Drosophila melanogaster: one gene and its partner. The protein of the gene in region 1 interacts with the protein of each later gene in a pairwise test. Each region holds a gene or a part of one and is shown on either strand. Other genes may lie near its edges. The genes, in order: CG18128 and CG15093.

The links.
Region 2: the proteins of CG18128 (region 1) and CG15093 interact in a two-hybrid assay, tested with the Drosophila melanogaster proteins (one large-scale study listed by BioGRID).

The regions. Positions count from the first base shown.
Region 1 is NT_033778.4:23,714,174-23,723,610, reverse strand, and holds CG18128 (uncharacterized protein), read left to right. Parts: upstream 1-3,674; 5' UTR 3,675-3,765; coding exon 3,766-4,785; 3' UTR 4,786-4,813; downstream 4,814-9,437. Other genes in the region: Sesn (sestrin), read right to left, coding at 736-786; CG46429 (uncharacterized protein), read right to left, coding at 1,177-1,338.
Region 2 is NT_033778.4:18,771,787-18,781,398, reverse strand, and holds CG15093 (uncharacterized protein), read left to right. Parts: upstream 1-4,420; 5' UTR 4,421-4,574; coding exon 4,575-5,549; 3' UTR 5,550-5,730; downstream 5,731-9,612. Other genes in the region: Mctp (multiple C2 domain and transmembrane region protein), read right to left, coding at 7,656-7,736, 7,794-8,001, 8,064-8,264, 8,322-8,441, 8,501-8,860, 8,929-9,444, 9,508-9,612.

The DNA of each region.
Region 1 (9,437 bases):
CATGTGAGAAATATCGCAGGCTTATCAGTTCTTATCGATGGGGTCTTTCGCAAAAAGTGCCCAGTCCTTTCTGCACACTCACTGCGCATTATAAAGTTGGCAACTCACTTCGGTTACCAACCTACCTACCACCTACTCACATTCCCAGCAACTGATTGTTGTTTTCCCTGCATTTTCCACATTTCCTGCATTTCCCATTTTTATAATTTTATCAGCATGTCTGCAAAAAGAATTTCAAACAAAAGCACGCATTTTTCAAATAACATCCCTTCATATTTGCACTGCGGTTTTAAGTTTTCCTACTCTGGCAAAAGTTAATTACGAAGCTGTGGAAAATGTGCGCCATTCGAAAACACAAAAGCACGTATTACATTTCAGCGTACGTATAGAGTGAAAATCATTTTTGACTGACCAGGCAAAAATATTACGCACCGAGTCTCGTTGGCATCGTTGTTGATTAAAATCTCAGTTTAATAATCACATCATATCATTCAACAGTTGCCACTTGAAACATAATATGCTGTCAATCAGGTTCTAAGTGCACGAGCTTGAGTTAATCACAAATTCGCTTAATAATGCTGCGATATGTGGTTAACATAAGCTTTAACTCAACTAAGCGCCATTTGGGTTAGAAAACCAAACACTCGGCTCTGAATTTGATGGAGACACTCTGCTAATCTTTCCCAGAAAGAGTTGGATAGGATAACTACTTACATCTAAACCACATGAACTTACATCTTGAGAGATTTGTCCCATATCCGCGTAGTAATCGACGGCGTAGTACATGAGTCTGGCGGAGGGATCGAGTCGAGTTGGATGTGGATGCGACGTGTGCTCGGATTCGGAATCAGAGGTCGCAGTCGATTGCAGTTGGTAGCTGCAGCTTCGATCGCAGTGAGAAAATAACCAGTTTTCGCCCGGCTCTTTGTTTATGGAGCCACGAAAGTGGAGCAGCCGCCAAACTGGAAATGCACCAAAGCAGGAGGCTCGTCCGCGGATCGTATAGTACCGAATCGAATCGTATCGTATCGTATCGTATCAGAGCGGATTGGATCGCTGGAGCTGGAGCTGGAGCCAAACCAGATTTTCTTAAACTGCTGCTTCTGATTGCGATGCTGGTCTGGTGTGGTCAGGCTAGGGTCTTCTTCTCTCTGCAGCCAGAGTCCACTATCACTATCAGCGGAATATCCGAGGTCGCGGATTGTGGTTCAAGCACTTGTAGGTGTAGCTCTGGATCCGCAGGACGTTCTTCTCGTCGGTGATGGCTATTCCCCGATTCGAGTGGCTAAAGCATTGGCAGTTGGAGCAGATGATGTTGGTCTGGTTTTTGGTTTTCATTTGTCGTTTTGAGCTGGCGACCCTTCCACTCTGCACGTGCTTGTGCTCCTCAGATGTTGCTAGCTGCGGATGAGAGAAACGATCTTCATTAATTACCATATCACACAGCTTCACAAAGCCCAAGCTCGCTTCCCACAGCAACAACTCGTTTGCGGTTCTCCGCCGCCTTCAATTAGCATTCAAATGCCAGTCAAAATATTCACTTTTCGTCGCTTTCTTTTTTTCAGCTTTTTCGGTTTGGGTTTTGGTTTTGTTTGAGCATTTCTTGTTGGCTCTACTGCCGTGTATTTAGCGGGCCTGCACAGACAGCGTAAAATCGCGCAATGCCAAAAATAAAAGGCAAACAACGGTCACAAAGCAAAACGCAGCACAAAAGTTGGTAAACAAACTGGGAGCTGCGAGTTGGGAACTCGGAACTGGCAACTGGGCAACTGGGCAACTGGATAACTGAGCACTGGGAATGGCCGAAACGGGTTCGCTCCTCTTCCTGGGGCAAGGTGAGATTTCGAAAAAAAATAATAATAATAAAAGAATGTGAAAAACAAAAAACAATAATGGAGCGGCGGGTGAATGTGAAACCGAAATTAATATCAACTGCAAACAGGGCATTTTTGGCAGGCTGGCGCAAAGTGACAAACAAATAGCCAACCGAAAGTGGGCAAAGATATGGGGGCTACAAAGAAACAAGCCTAACAATGGGCACAACAAGCCGAAACAAGGCATTCAGATACACACACATTTGGACTCAGATTCTCAGATACAGATTCAAATTCAGGTTCAGATACATTTACAGATACAGATACAGATACGGATACAAAGTCGGGGAAGTAAACAAACAAATGGAAAACAGATGATAGAGTTACAGGCCCGGATGATCTCTTGCGGTTTTTGGCCCCGCATCGAAGCCTCGTCATCGTCACCGTAGCCAGCAAGGCGAATCACACAAACGTGACTCTGACATTGTAGGCGGCTGCACTGGAATAACAAAATAGCAAATAGCCCACAAATCGGGAAAAACAATCGGCGACAAAGGCTGCTTTTGTAACCCAAGCCATTTGGCGCGCACTCGAATAACATAAACAGCGCTACAAAGTTTCCTATTAATAATTTTTTATTATCGACCACGTCACGAGCATACTAAACGCTTCGCCGATTCCCCAATCCCAATCCCAAACCCCATACCCATCCGAATCCCGCCAAGTCGCACGAATCGACTTCGAACAGCTGGCCAGTGGATTCGTTGACAGAGGTGGTCATGGTAAACATGGCCGAGACAATGTAGCTGCTTTTCGCTGGTTGGCCCAACTAATTAGCGAAAGTATTGAGCCAAGCCTCGGCCTGGTCCAGTCTACACCAGCACACTCCAGACAGGCGATGCACTGGCAGAATAAAGGGCGCACTTTCTTTCATTTTTCACACAGAGAAGGAGTAAGTACACTGTGTGCACTTTTTAATGTTTTCTTCTTCTTAACTGCATTGCAATGATAGGATCGCTAGAATGAGATGCCACTTACAGCACCCCGATTCATCTCAGTGTAGTCTTGAGTGTCTAGTTTACCGCCAGTTCCGAATCTCCGAATGGACGTATTTAATTTATCCACTCACACCAGCACTCCAATCGCTAGCTGTGCCATGGATGCGATGCTGTAAACGAACTCTGGCGTGTGGTGACATTGAACGGCATCCACAACACACAAACACACAACAAGTAAACAACGGCCGGGGCGTTGCCTATGTGCCGCCATGCGTATGAGCGTTATTATCACGTATACGTATGGTAAACATGGTAAACAGCATCTTCCCCGCCCACAGCGGCGGCAGCATGGGCGTGGCACCGTCGACGCTGATAATTAAATCTATTTCGCACTGTCTGTTTGAGCTTAAAGACTCCGATTGAACTTTGGAAAGTGAAAACTAGGGAAAATAAAAGAGAAAAGCGCTCCACGCTTCTACATATTGCATGTAACTGATTAGAGTTAGCTTGGATGTTCCAAAGTTTTTTCATTTGTTTTGTTAACTAGGGAAAAACAAACAAAAAATGCCCCCTTTTCGGAAAACTGTTGTTTTATGATTTAATGCAGTTTTTGGCCCTCGCTTTTGGAAACGAACTTTGTGAACAGCTGGATTTCGGAATTCATCAGCCAATTTTAACCAGACGTCATGGCGCGCTTTTGTGGTTTTGTTTTTCGACCAGACCCTGGCTTTTTGTTTTTAGCGTCATTCGATTCGAGTCACACCTCCTGTTTTCCGCGGACTTAATAAATCGTTGATTTATTTCTGCCGTCAATACATGGTTTAATTCTTATTTAAGCCTCTCACACACAAACAGCCCTAAGCTATGCCCTAAAAGTCATCTTTTGAGTATTTTCCAAAAAATTCGAAAATTGGTGAAGTTTCGCACCCATTTGGCGACCCATCCTACTCAAAATGTGCAACTACGACTGCTGCAAGTCCAGGTCGCCGATTGCCAAGCGAATGGCGGCCAGGAAGCTTCTGCAGATGGAGGAGGAGGAACGCCGGAAGCCCAAGCTGGTCATCCCGACGCCCCAGAGCCTCTTCTACCCCTTCGAGGAAGTCGAGGCCATGGCCAAGTACATCGTGAACGTTAGCCACATCAGGCCAAAGTACGGACTAATCTGCGGCAGCTTCCTGAGCGATATGGTCAGCTTGGTGGAGCAGCCGGTGGTCATTCCCTACGAGGACATACCCAACTTCCCCGACGGCATAGAGCCGGACTGCAGCTTCGTCTTGGGCACGGTCATGGGAGCGCCCATAATAGCGCTGGTCCACAGTTTCCACTCCTGCGACGGCTACAACCTGGCCACCTGTGCGCTGCCCGTCCGCGTGATGCAGTTGTGCGGGGTCAGGACCATCATGCTGACCTCTGAAGCAGCGGCCGTAGATCACGGATTCGCCCTGGGCGACATAATGCTTGTCCAGGACCACATCAATGTGGTGGGCATGATGCACCAGACGCCGCTAGAGGGTCCCAGTGATCCGCGCTTTGGCAGCCGCCGATTCTCGATGGTGAACGCATATGACAAGGACCTGCTGGAGAAGGCACTCGAGATTGGCAAGCGAATGGGCATCCAGAAGTTCCTGCACAGCGGCGTCTTAGCCTGCATGGGAGGTCCCATTCTCGGCACTGTGGCCGAGGAGCGAATGCTGCGGACAATGGAGGTCAGTGCCGTGGGCATGTCCCTGGTGCCCGAGGTTATAGCCGCCCACCACGGCGGCCTGAAGGTGCTCGCCTTTGTGGTTATCAGCAGGGCGGCCAGCGACAAGGAGAGCGAGGAGAGCGATAAGGACAAGGAGAAGGACACTGACAGGGACTCCAAGCAGGATAAGCGAGAGCAGGATTCCCAGGAGCCTGTCCCCCTCCCAAGACTGCAGGCCTGCTCCGATCTGATCGGCCGACTTATGTACTGCATGCACCTCGAGATCTGACGATCGAAAATAGACTTCTCGAAGCCCCATCCGACTTCTTCTGTTCGGATTCCTATTTTCGGTGCGGCCAGTGGTGCTGCCAACGCGGAAATAGCCACAGGTGCAGCTGTTGGCGCAATCTTCTCGGCGAAGAGTTGTCGCCTAGGGGGGAGGTTTCAAAATGTGTGATCTGAGATGGCCAAGTGGGAAGTGTGAGGTGTGAGGTGTGAGTTGTGAGGTGCGAGTGTGCCCGGTGTCACTCTGTCTAATGGACGCCCCAAATGGCCAGCCATCAAAAGTAGAGAGTGCAGAGTGCACACGGGCCGTATACGTAATTGTCCAATGCTCGGGCTCGGGCCAGCTGTAAAGTACATTTAATGGCAATTAGACGGCATAGAAAGCCGAGCTACTCTGTTGCACGTCTACTTGGCATAGTAGAGTAATGTATCAATTAATCGGCTAAGAGGCTTACGAGTCCGCGTTATCAGAACGTCGCTAAATGCCCTCCTCTGTTGGCCAGTGACAGTGGACGAGGCTCCCTGCGAGCCAACTTCCCGCAGATTAGCCTGTTTTGTAATGGCCATTACAAACTTGCACTGCCAGCGCTTCTTTGTTCGTCATTGTGGCTAATTTTATTATTCGCCATTGTGCGGCAGCTGCAGTAGCAGCGCGATGACGAACGGCGATTGCGCTGCTTATTGACGCTGATTGTTCAGATACAAGTGCATATATGCATGCATGTACATATGTATGTAGTGGGGGTATGTATATGTGGGCTATGGCGACCGCCACGAGCTGTTTGCCTTGCAATTTGCTATTCGCGCTCGTCGCTTTGCTTTCAGCTGTTTTCAGCTGTGCGATCATGCGGCTAGAAAGCTACATTTTCCCCGGCCTGCACCGATTTTTCGCCGATTTCCCCCGGTTTCTCGTCCGATCTCGTCCGATTTCGTCCGATTTCGACCGATTTCGACCGATTTCCCCGACTGAGATTTGGGCCTGCGGCACTACGCTAATGAGTTTTCAGCGGCCAGTTCGTTGACCCCGCTGCATAAACTCATATTGATTGCAACTTGCCACCGAATTGCAGTTCTGACTGCGATTCATGCGGCCAGTTCAGTGCACTGACATTATGCACAGTTTTATTTTGGGTGCCATGAGTGCGTGAGTAACGGTGTCAGCTGACTCGCAGATGCAGATCTGCATCACCAGATAGAAAGATGCAAAGATACAAACACATTCTGGCATTTCAATTGCCCTGGGTGCAACATCTGCCCGCTATTTTGGCAACTCAATTGTCAACAAGGATCTAATTCCGATCTTCGGCTGACGCAATCCAAATGGCAGGCAGATGCCGATAGGAGTGCTGATATTATGCTAATTATAATGCCACGGGCTAATTATAATGCCAACTGATGAAATATCCATACCATTAATTTAAGCTAAGTTGAAGCAAAGTTGTATTTAAAACTAATGTGATTCCATTAGTTTCTTGATAGATAAATCCAACCCCAATTATTCGGCTGCATGGGGAATTAGAATTTCGCACACAAAATTACTTTTGCATTGTAATTATTATTCGGTTGTAATGCAATTTGCCCACTTACATACAGAAATCCACAAATATTCGCACACAATTTGCAGAGCAGCGGCAGTAAATGAATAGAAATCTGAATTTGGCAGTTGCTATGGCTTTTCCAAAGAACTTCTAATCGTACTTGACCACCATAAACAATATTTGGCGATTAGATTTTTTATATATTCACTTGACTTAAGTCGGGCCAATCGCCATTTATTAGGCTACTGATATACTGATATGGATGGTGAGTTATGTGCGCTGTGAGGGAAATCCATTTGATTAGTTATTGAAACTCTTTTAATTAAGTCTTTACAATTATGGGTAAGTCAGAAAGTTTCCCACTTGGATTATGCTTGCAGTTAGCTGAAGAACATGCGTAAATACCCTTGAATCTGAAGCATGGGAAAACGGCATGGAAAATACTCAGTTTTGTTTGTGACTACTTGTAATAAGTAGGTAAAAGTAGAAGATTGCACAAATTAACGGCAAGCAAGCTTAACAGACTGCAGTTGCAATTGTGTTGCTGCTGCACTTGCTGCAGTTGTAGTGGCTGCTGCAGTTGCTGTTGCGAGTTCAGTCACCTCGTCTTGCGCCCATAGAAATGACTATGATTAAAGCAGCATTCGCGGATACAACAAACAACACAACTTTTAAACTATCCGCATTAAACATGAAATAATGTACTAAACTTTCAATTTACTTATTTGAATCTGTTCAAATAAGTGCTTAAATAAACTTTTATCGAATTACTGGAATCTGCGAAGCGTACAGCTGATCGAATTAATAATGGTAGTGGCCGCAGGTCATTGGAAGGACCATGACTGTTGTTTTTGTCGCAAAAGGACGAATTCGATTGAGTTTACAGACCGATTCAGTTGTTTCTGGCGCTCGAAAGCCGCTTAACTGATTGCAACATTGATGGAAGCACATATCAATTGCCCTCTCAGCCGATGGTTCAAGTGATTTCCCATCACACACTCGTACACCCAATCACTCAACACACATAAACACACACACAAGCACAAGCGGCAATCTTAATGCGCCTGGCAACAACTAAAAGACATCAACAACATCGCGAGCAACAGTTGTGCGAGTGCGAGTGCATGAGTATCTGTATCTGCGTGAGTATCTGTGTGGCGCGCGCCAGTGTGTAGAGTATCTGTGTGCGACGGCTACATAGCAACCGTTTATCATAATTGGCATTAACTGCCAGCCATTCCTCAATTCTTTTCGGCCCGTAGCATTACGTATACGCCGGGATGGCCGATGGCCTGGCATGGCGAAGAGAATTCATTGCCGAGCAGGGGCCTTAATTCGCAGGCTCAGTTCGTTTTCGTTCTTCTTGTTTGTCTGCGAATTACGCCCATGTCGGCGTACTTGATTGTTTCACCGCATGTATTGTACGAGTGTAACAATGGATAGTATCGTGTGTATGGCCGCAAGGACCATGTCATTTGCAGTGCCGAACATTTAACTCGAATGCTGCCCGACAAGCTGCCTAATTAGTGGATGGCCAACTCGAAATAGAACTGGAAAAAGCTGAAGCCGCGAGAAGCGGGTAATGGAAACCGTAAACAAACGCAGCCAGCAAAGTGAACAAATGCCCTCAGCAGTTTACCAAAAACCGCGTGCGAGGCTTCGCCTTCGCAGTGGGGCGGAAAGAGAGGGCGAAACGCTCGGCAAGCGAACACGCCGCCTAATTTAGATTCCCGTGCGGTAGGTCAAGTGCCAATTTCCTCAACTTGAAGTTGTGTGGCAGCAGCAAATCCAATACTGAACGAATTGAATCAGTGTGTCTTCCATTCGATTCTGTTTTCTGTATACGCATCTTGGCCCAGGAACCTGTTGCGCTGACTTGACAGCCCGTCAATCCGCAAAGTCCCTGGCACTGGCCAAAAAATGGGAAAACAGCCGGAATTGGCCAACAACCGCAGGTTTCACATGTGCAATCTGCCAAAGATTTGTGAGGATTTTGTGGGAAGCGATGCTGCAAACCCAATAGCATGAGCTTCTACTCCAGTCGAGAGTTGTGCACTGGGGAAGGGAATGGTTTCTCTATAGATTCAATAGAGAATTCAAATATTCAAAAATAGCCAGTTATTTATGTATGAAGACATTAAGTGGGGCACTGCAGATAAATGCGAGTGGCAACCTATGTTAGGGGAATACCAGCTTAAGGATATATTTTAACCAATTCTAAAGTGCATTTTGTTTCTTGCAGTGCCTTGGGTTTTTTTCCATTACGACAATCCCTAAGGAACATTCCATTTCATCGGAAAAGCCTCTTAGTAACAGTCCTGGCCTCAAAGGACATTTGCAAATGTATTGGGGAAAACTGGAGTACTGTATAGATGGAACCTTTCTTACTTACCCTTTGTTCGCCGGACTAACAGTCTCTACATTTGCTTGATAGCGATGTTTGTAATCTCCTTTAATTTCGGTTCATTTGCCCGAGGGGCACACAGCTACTTTCTTGTGGTGTTTGTCTTTACAATCGCAGATAGAGCGCTTCTTTCGCTCGCGTTTTTGATAACACAGAACATATATGATGTAGTAACTAATTGCTGGAAATCGGCGAAGGGCTCCGAAACTTAAGACACGAAAACTGTGGATAAAATGTATTGTTTTGATCAGAGGAAACGAAGAAAGTTGGTACTCGATTTTCGTCCGTTTTCGTTTATAATTTAATTTACGCGCTCACTAATTATGTAATGCCCTCTCCCCTAATACCCCGAAAAAACCGAAGAACCGATTGCATTTGGCGCGAAAATAGACAACGGCAAGCGCAGAGATAACAATAATAGTTTATATTTAAATTTGAACAACAACGGCGGTCAGCATCGTTTAATTTGTTTACGCGGCTCGAGCTCGTTATTATTCGACTATGAGGCCAATCTAATTTATGCTCCGCCGCCTTGTTGTTGTCTCAGTTTTGGGTTTGATTTGGTTTGGTTTGCTTTAGTGCCACTCTGACTGGGCTGCTTTGCAGGAGATTTCTGTAGTAATTTTCCATGCAATAACAATGATTTTCGCTTTTTTATTTTTCTCTATTTTTCTTATTTTTTTAATTTTTGGCGCTATCTACATTTCTTGTTTT
Region 2 (9,612 bases), 4.9 Mb from region 1:
GAATCTTTTGGGCCAGGTGCAGATAAACCGTCGCTTGTGATTCGCAACTGATGCTGATGCAACGCTGACAAGAAGACATAAATATCACTTATGCAATCGAAAGGAGAGAGCTGGATTGTCGATGCGTCGACGCATCGAGAGCCAAATGCATTTAGGCTCACGAAAGTAAGACAACTTTTTGCCGCTGCTCTGCCCCTCGGGTGATGCCCAAAATGCTGGCTATTTGGTGCTTTTGGCCATAAAACGCTTCCTGCTCCCGCTGCAATGCACTGCAGCAGTGCGCTGGTCAAAATGTGGTCGAAATCTGGAAAACTGGATTGCCAGCGGAGAGCCTCTCGAGCCGAGAGGCATCGCTAGTTTCCTTCCTTGTGTGTGGATTTGGGTTAGCCAAACATTTATCTGCCGCTCGAGCTGTTGGTTTTTATGTTGATGTCGCCGCTGGTCGAGATTGGGGGATACAAATCAGGAGGGAGAAGTGTATCAGTGGGTGAAAACAGCGGGAAATTGGTCCGAACAATGGGGTTTTAATCAGCTCATTATGTACGGGTTTAGTTTTCCTTGTTTTTAGACGGTCTCTTTTAATTGGTAATGTGCATTTTCAAGTGTTGCGCTTGTCGATCATAAATTAATTACCGTTTTTCTTGAGGATAATAAATCTTTTTTATACATTTCAGAGTTCATATGCTCCCAAGCAATTCGAAGAGCATTCATTCTCCGCATTTCTCTTTCCTCAACTGGATTGTTGTTTTTTTTTTGGTTCACTCTGCCAACTGCAATTAAAATTTTGTAATACGGTGACCAAAAAAGCAAAAAAGATGGAAAATATAACCCAAGCACAAACAACATCGCGATGAAAAATTACGACAAACAGAAAAACACATTCGCTCTAAACGGTCGCATGGAATGTGTGTTTTGTCGGGTAGCGAATAATTTGACCACTTTCAAAAATGATTTTCAATTTCACTAAACTATAGACTGTAGGCCAGGGTGTCGGCAATTGGTAACTAAGTGCGGAGATACATATGCGAACACATAATAATTATGCATGCGGCGTATTAAAAAGCGCGAACCTTAGAAACGATTCAAAAACTCAAGCCGAATGAAATCGAAAATGAATTGAATCGAATTGAGTTGAGTTGGATTGTGGCTGTGGCTGCGGGGGGATGATAATTTCACTTTCCTTTCCCAAACTTGCTGCAGTGACTCCAACTGCATTTCAATTTTCCGCATTGGGCGTGTGTGAGTGTGAGTGTGTGTGTTTTCAGTTAGTTTTTCATTTTCATATCGTTTTGGAGTGGTCTCTTCAGTTGGCATGTTAATGTAGGTCCGAACGTACATACATTCGATCGAGAGCAGAGCAGAGCGAAAGTCCAGCAGTGACGTCTAGCACAGGGAAACAATTAAATCCCATGAAAGTGATTATCGAACGCAATTTCACTGCCAAAATTTCTGGCTTAATGTAATTTCAATTACGTGCTGGCCGGAAACGAAATCGAAGACAGGCTGAATGAAAAATGTCAGTAGTCGCTCACGATGTCACAACCGTTGGCTGGCAAATTACATGGTAATGTGTTCCTCGCTGACTCACGGATCTACGCGGTGGCATGCAGATTGTTGCGACCTGTCGCATTCATCAAATTGCGTGCAGCCGGCTGAAGACGGGTCAAGAAACCAGATCCAGGCGAGATACAGTCCGATTCGCAGATACAAGATACAAAATGAATGTTCATGAATAAGAAAACTTAAGACACGAGGGAGAATAGAAACACTTTGAAATCTATAAATCAAAATGTTATTTTAAAGTTATGATTAGGGAATTAATGATGAGGACTTACATACCCCCAGCAATCAATTATGTAAAGTTGTATCGTTAAATATATATACATACATAAAATCTATTATATTTTTTTCCCGCCTGTAGGACATTCCTATGCTCCTCCACTGTAATGATTGCTTATAACGCAATGTTTGCGGGCGAATAAAATTCAATCGCAATGTGATTCAATTCAAGTGCACGCTCTTTTCTGTTTTCTGTGTTTTGTGATTAGTGATTTGTGGGTGCGCGCTGTTGACGATGAGTGAAATTTCGCTGTCTGCCTATGTTTGACATGGAAATTAGTAGCGGCAAACGTTGGTGTGCGACCGCAGCGAAGAAATGTTATAATGTCTGCCTAATGAGCTTGGCACACCGCTGCGTATACTTGATGTACGATATACGCATAAGAGTGTGTACAAATGCCATGAACATGAACATTTTCCAAAGCCAAGCCCAAATGGTCCACTTGAAGCTTGTAGTTTTGCGCTTTAATGCTTCACTTCGCTTGTGGCTTCTTTGGCGCCTTTGGCTTTTTAATATTATTTTTTTTTCACTTTTACTTGTAAATTGTAAATTGTTTCAAAGAGACGCGCTCTCACCTGTATTTGCTGTTGTTTCGGCCCATATTCGTGTTAATCATTCGCTGAATTGCACTTTATGGCGTTAGATAAGGGTCTTGCCGCTATTTTGACAATTGACAAGCGATTATATAAGCGAGCGCTGCTGGGCAGCCGATGTCCCCCATTCGATGTGATTTTTGCGCCATTGTCGCGATCTCGATCCGCTCCACTCCCCAAATTGAAATGCACTTAGGCGATCGACGGATGCTGCAGACGCGCTGACATAGATAAATCACCAAAAAATCATCATCATCAGTGCGAACACAGAGAACGGTGATATCCAATACACATTTATACATAGTTACATCTGCGATATGGCTATTTACTGCCACCCTTATTCAAATAATATTTCTGAAAATCATTCATAGAAGTGGTTATGTCGAAAATATAGCCAATATACATACTTTATTTCAGTTGTTTCTGTTTTCTTTTGATAAGCATAACTCAGTTGGCTGACAACGAGGTCCGTGGGATTGCGTAAGATCGGAGCCACGACAGGCGGGCCGTAAATTGGACGAGATTTTGCGAAACGCAGCTCGAGCAGTTGCAATTTCATGCATGCCGATTTTTATGCGAGCACCAACATTAAAAAAAAAACAACAACAACAACTTCAGCAACAGCATCGAAACCTTATGACCATTGTACAATTTGGGCGAAAAAAAAAACTATCTGCGCCAATTGAGGTTCGGAAAGCAGTGATAAAAATAGCACAAGAAAACAAAATCGCGAAACATCAAATTGTTTATTGTGGGATCAAGTATTGGCAAAGCCCTAGCGCAAGAAAGTTGCAAAAATAAAAACATTATAAAGTCTTGGGTATACAATAACGATCCTCAGATACACTTACAAATTGTACAACAAAATGTATATGTACTTCCCTGTTCACCGAATAAATACAAGCACTAATTAATTAATTTTGTTTTAACTAATTTTTACAATGGTCATACCTTTTACAATGCAGCTTAAAATGATTACCCATTAAGTTGGGTCTTTCAAGGTCTAAGGTCTTTTCAGTTATTAGGCTATAAAATTATGGTAGATTAAGGTATCACTGGTATCTCTGTTTGTGAAGCGAAATAAGCCCTTGAAGTGAGTGTAAAATGAAACATCAGTTTGGAAATTGCTCGTGTGAATTTAGTTATGCACGATATTTCACGCAATTGAAGCCATTCGCATGTTGCCCTTCATTCATTCATTCAGTTGAGGAAAGAGGCATCGAATGAAGATTGCTTCGAAGGGATAAATTATGTTTTAGTTTTTTAAGTTTAATAAATTCAATCGTTCTAGATGCTTTACTTTAATTTTCACTTGAATTGAAACTGCACAACCAGCGTAAAAGCTTACAGTTTTGGAGCCTCTGGTCTGGGCACTCAACGTCAAACCGACACACCCACAAATTTCTATACACCCCCCGTCAAACACACACACAAGCCCCCACATACGCCGAAGGTCAATGAAAGTAAATAAAATCGAAAGTTTTGCCCAGATTGATAAGCGAAACCAGCGGCACGTGTCGCTCACATATAACATAAATCAAATAAAAGCATTGGAAAGACCAGAGCTGAAAAGCTTTTGCCGGCGTCACTGGAACTCAAGATAAAATATATGTATAATGTGCTAACCATATGGTTGATAGCTAGCAGAGCTACTTGTTGAGAACTTGTTTTGATCTAGCAGAGTTGTCGCGACTTCAGAAGAATTATATATTATATTTTATTATATTATTATATTATATATATTGATATATATTTAAGTTTTTTAAAGATTTTTAAAATATATAAAAAGTTAATATTATTACTTATTGTTTAACATATCGAACTTTTCCAAATAAATAAATAAATAATTAATAGATATAAAGATTTGTTTGGAAATGGTTTTACTATATTAATTCAATGTATTAATTAATTAATATTAATTAGTGTAGCCGACAACCCTCGAGCGGCCGCTGGAATGAGCTGAAAATAAGCGACCTTCCAACAGCAGGGAGCAGTGTGCTTCTGACAGCGGTCCGATCACGTAGAACTTTTGCAGTTTCAGCCGTATCCCCTTAGATTTCTTACACCAACAGGTGGGTGAAATCTGGTGGCTAGTTGCCTATTTGAAGTGATTACATAACACTGTAGAACTTTTCGCAGACATGTCGCTCCGTGTGATGTCCCCCGCTATGCTGAATGCCTGGAGCCAGACCCTCGTGAGGGCCATGTCCACCCAGGGCGGAGCCAAGAACATCGGCTTCGTGGGTCTGGGCAACATGGGTGCCAACATGGCCAGCAATCTAATCAAGGCCGGCCACAAGCTGCATGTCTTCGATATCTCCAAGCCCGCCTGCGATGGTCTGGCCGCCAAGGGAGCCACCGTCTACGCCAAGACCTCGGAGCTGGCCAAGAACTCGGACTTTGTGATCACCATGCTGCCGAACAATGCCATTGTGGATGCCTCCTACGATGAGATGACTGCCGATGGCGTCAACAAGGACACCATCTTCATTGACTCGTCGACGATCTCGCCGGATTTGGTCAAGTCGTTGCAGAAGAAGATCAGCGCCAAGGGAGCTCGGTTTATCGATGCCCCCGTTTCCGGCGGAGTTCCCGGCGCCGAGCAGGCCACCCTCACCTTCATGGTGGGCGGCACCGAGGCGGAGTACAATGCCGTCAAGGCCGTCCTAGAGTGCATGGGCAAGAAGATCACCCACTGCGGCGTCTATGGCATGGGCCAGGCCGCCAAGCTGTGCAACAACATGATGCTGGCCATCTCGATGATCGGTGTTTCGGAGGCCATGAATCTGGCGGTGCGCCAGGGTCTCGATGCCAATGTCTTCGCCGAGATCATCAACTCCTCCACCGGACGCTGCTGGGCCTCGGAGATCTACAACCCTGTGCCCGGAGTCTGCCCCAGTGCCCCAGCCAACAGGGACTACGCCGGCGGTTTCTCCTCGGCTCTGATCACCAAGGATCTGGGTCTGGCCTCCGGAGTGGCCAACGCTTCCAACTCACCCATCCCGCTGGGATCTCTGGCGCACAAGGTCTACCAGTCGCTGTGCGATAAGGGTCTGGGCAACAAGGACTTCTCCGTGGTGTACGACCTGATGAAGAAGGAGAAGTTCAGCGTTTAGGTTACTCACAGACTACAGGTTGTGGTGGCCACAACCACGTCATGTCCACATCCAAACCAGTCCTGCATTTAAATATAGCACTAAGTTCCCTCTATTTCGATTTCTATTGTGACTGTTCCCTGTTCTATGCAAATAATACGTACATATATTAAAGACGTATCGTATTGAGTGAAAAAGTTCCATGCTGTTGCGTAATCGTGGGGCTGGTCTGATTAGGTCTGGGAATCGTCTGACGAACGGAACTCCGAGTGCTGATAAGCACCTACAAAAAAGCATCTGGGTTGCTATATTTTATTGCCACTTATGAGACCCCTGCAAATACAATTCCTGATTAGGGGTTATCTCCAGCACTCGTGGCATTAGATTCCACATGGAGATCGTTTTTAATTCATAAAGCTTGCCAGGTAAACAGAGCATAGAGTCGAGCAAAACAAACAACATTGAAAGATCCCAATGGAAATTATGGCGTGGTTATCAAAAGCTCACGGATTGAGAAGCACTGGCGGAATGTTTCGCAAAGTAATTTTATGTGGGTAGCACTAAAACTTACAGTTTGAATGGCTCTTTGTTGACATACTTTTTGAGATGGGTACAATCTAATAAGAAAACATATATAGATATAAGGATTTGCATATTAAATTCTCACAGCTTTAGTAACTATGTTTAAATATTAATATTTGTTTACCGAAAAAATGGGGATTCGTTTTATAAAACGTAGAGATAAGTAGTGGAACCACTCTGATAAGCCATATCAAAGAGGGGTGTTTATTTAAGTGGCTAGTTCGACACTCACACATCCCAGCTTTTATCTTCTAATAATTTTCTGCCACAGAAAGCTTAATTGGCAAGTAAACAGAGGACCGAGCAAAACAAACAACTGTTTTGTGGCAACTGTAGAATCTGCATAGAACCCAGACAGTTACAGCTCTACAGTTTTAGCATCACTCCGCACAGTGGTCAATGTATTTTTCAAAGCGACATATTTTGAGCGAAATCCAAAAATATTTTTATTTTTACAATCATATATATATATATATTTAAAAATAACAAACTTAACTTAGGTGCTAATTAATTAATTGAGTTGGTATGTATGTATATAAAAACTTTGTTGTTGCTCTTTTTGTGGGGTATAAAATAGTTCAACTATCTAAAATGTATCAAATCGATCAATCGGAGTGGGTTACATAGAAATTAATTTATATTTATTTGTATAGCTGGGCCGGGGCCTTTTAAGAGCTGATTATCCTAGACAAAGTTAATAATTATATGTTTTAGAAAATGTTTTGAACAATCTTTCCGAGTGAAATAATTACAATCAATTTGGTTAGGATAAGGCTTAATTAGGTATATATGTAAAGGTATATAATGAAAAAGCGTCCTTAAACGAGTCGAGTGCAATCGAGTGGTAAATTGTAAATGGAGTTTGGGGGAAACTTCTGTGCGGTACGGAGCTTCCGTGGTTTAAGTCACATTAAGTAGTAAGCCTAGTTGCAAAATTCTTTGAAAATATCACAAATTGAAATACACAATAAATAATTAATCGCATTTGGATTCGCGCAAAAAGGAATCTGGTAGTTAGCAATTTGAGTTTTGGTAAATATTCGAATAGATCTTTGAGAGAGGTTACCTTAGGTACATGCAATGTTTCAATAGATTCCTATTTATATCCGCTATCATTGTGTATGTACATAATCGCTTTGTGTAAATAGTTTGAGTTCTGCGCACATTTACATTAATATTCTCATTTTCTGTGTATATATATATATATAATTATATTAAAATAAGTAAAGCAATTTTGTGCTGCATAATTGAGTCAAGGTGAATTGCGTGTGTTGTTTCCTTCTATGGGTGGAACTGGTTGACTTCGATTCTTAACTAGCTAACTAACTTTGGTGTCTAATTGAATTCGCTATGGCTCAGACTGAGGCTCTTGGCCTGGCCAAACTTGTGCTTCAACTGGCTGGTGTTGGCCCGGAAGCGCTGCATCAACTGCTGCTGCCTTCCGCCGTATCCGGATCCCGATCCGCTTCCTCCTGCTGCTCCTCCTAGTGCGCTGGACTGCAGCGGCGAAAGGGACGCCATTGCCGCATCAGCGCTGGTTATGGACTATGATCCTTTCAGTTTCTTCTTGGGATTGTTGCGCGTCTGATCGGTGGGTGCCGATGGTGGCAGCTCTCGATATTGATTCTGCAATAAATATTATTATTATTTATAGCAAATGCAGCTAGTTAAAAGACCACTTACAATCTCCTCATTATCTGGCACTCGCGAGAGGAAGTCCAATAGCTCGTTGTTGGGAATGGTATTGGGTCTCAGCAAACGTCTGGAGAACTTCATCAGGCCCCAAAAGAGCAGCAGCCAGCGGAGCGGGACAAAATGCAAGACCAGAATGGCGCCCAATAGCAAAACCACAGCCAGCCAGGTCAGTTCGGGGACGGAAAAGTTGAATGTGCTGGTGATTACAAAGTGTTCATATAGACTGTGATGCATCTCATAAATAACAATAAAGTTTACTTAATGGTGCTCTCGCCTAAAGAAGCCAGGTAGCCGATGGTATTCTGTACCGTTTGGGAGACTTCTTGAATGGCCTGTAATCTCTCCTTGATGGACTTCTTTTCCTCCTTCTCCTTGTCATCATCATCATCTTCATCGTACTCATAGTCGTAGTGAGCAGCTGCATCTGTGGTGCCCGTTATAAGGCGAACCAGCCAGTTTCTAAATTAAAATTGTTGAGTATTTGGATCTCTCTGAATCTCTTACTTAATTACTTACTTAAGTATGATGAGCAGTAGAACTAGAGGTACTGTCTCCAGATCGCCGTAGACACAGGCGACTATCCAAAAGACGAAAGCTATGCTGGATCGCACAGGAGATTCCCACTCGAAACAGCTCCTTTAAAAAAACAGGCAGTGAATTATAAAGAAATTGTAATTGGAACCCTATACACTCACTGGACATAGCGCGCTGCATCTAGGATATCCATGATTATCTCCTTGAGTCTATTGACGTTGCGCAGGAAGAGCTGTCGCTTGAACTTGGCCTCCTGCTGGATGAGCTTTTCCTCCTTGGGCTGCAGGGCTCGACACACGGCACGGATCTCGCTCCAGACTACCGTCAGTTCCAGCTGAATTTGCGGTGAGTTTCCTTTGGCCCGCACACAGAGATTCTTGTCCTTCAGCGTATACCATCGCTTGACTCCACTTTTGATCCTTAGGAGGGGAATGACTAGCTTGCCCAGGAACTCTACGCGATGGTCGCGATCCTCATCGAAAACGGTGATCTCCAGGACCTGCGTGATGTCTTTAACATTGCTACAAAGCGAATTAAATAATTTTTTTTAGCAATATATAGCATTTAAAAGTAGGTTAGCTTTACTTACAAAGTAAATATCTTATTCCAATTAGGAGTGAGTGTTTTATACTCAGTTTGGGTTTGCAGTCGGGCGTTACCCAGTTCCAATACACAAAAAGGATCGGATTTTCCACCTATATCCGCTGCAGCCAGTCCAGTGGCTCCAAAGACCTTTACAGTTAGGTGACCCACATCGCGGAGGTTTTGGAGGCATCTTAGGAATTTATATCTTTCCCTTAGCAATTGAGCCTCTCGAGGATCCTCCTTGAAGGCCTTCAGATCGCTGATCGTCTCCAAGGCAGTGGTTCCACTTATAGTGAGCATAAGGTGGACCTCACCAGGGCAATCTTCCAGAGGTTTCCAAATGCCATGCGTGTTTTCGCGCTGAAAAACGCTGAGGTCAATAATGGCTTTGCCATAGAGGGTGTTCCGGTTCCAAAGTGCGATCTCCAGGTTTTGATCTTCATCAAACAGGTGCAAGTCGAACTGCTCCAGCCAGCGTTCCGTCCAGGAAGACTTGCTCTTGTACTTCTCATTGCCCAATCTGAAATCAATAGTAATCAATTACCTTTATGATATCACTACCAGTTAATAGTTATCAACTTACCTGAATTTGAAGTGAGTATCATTCAGCTTGCTGCCATCTTCAGCTAAGGGCAAATCCTTGGCTTTAACCAGCAATATGGTAACCACTGAGCTCCAGATCTGTGAC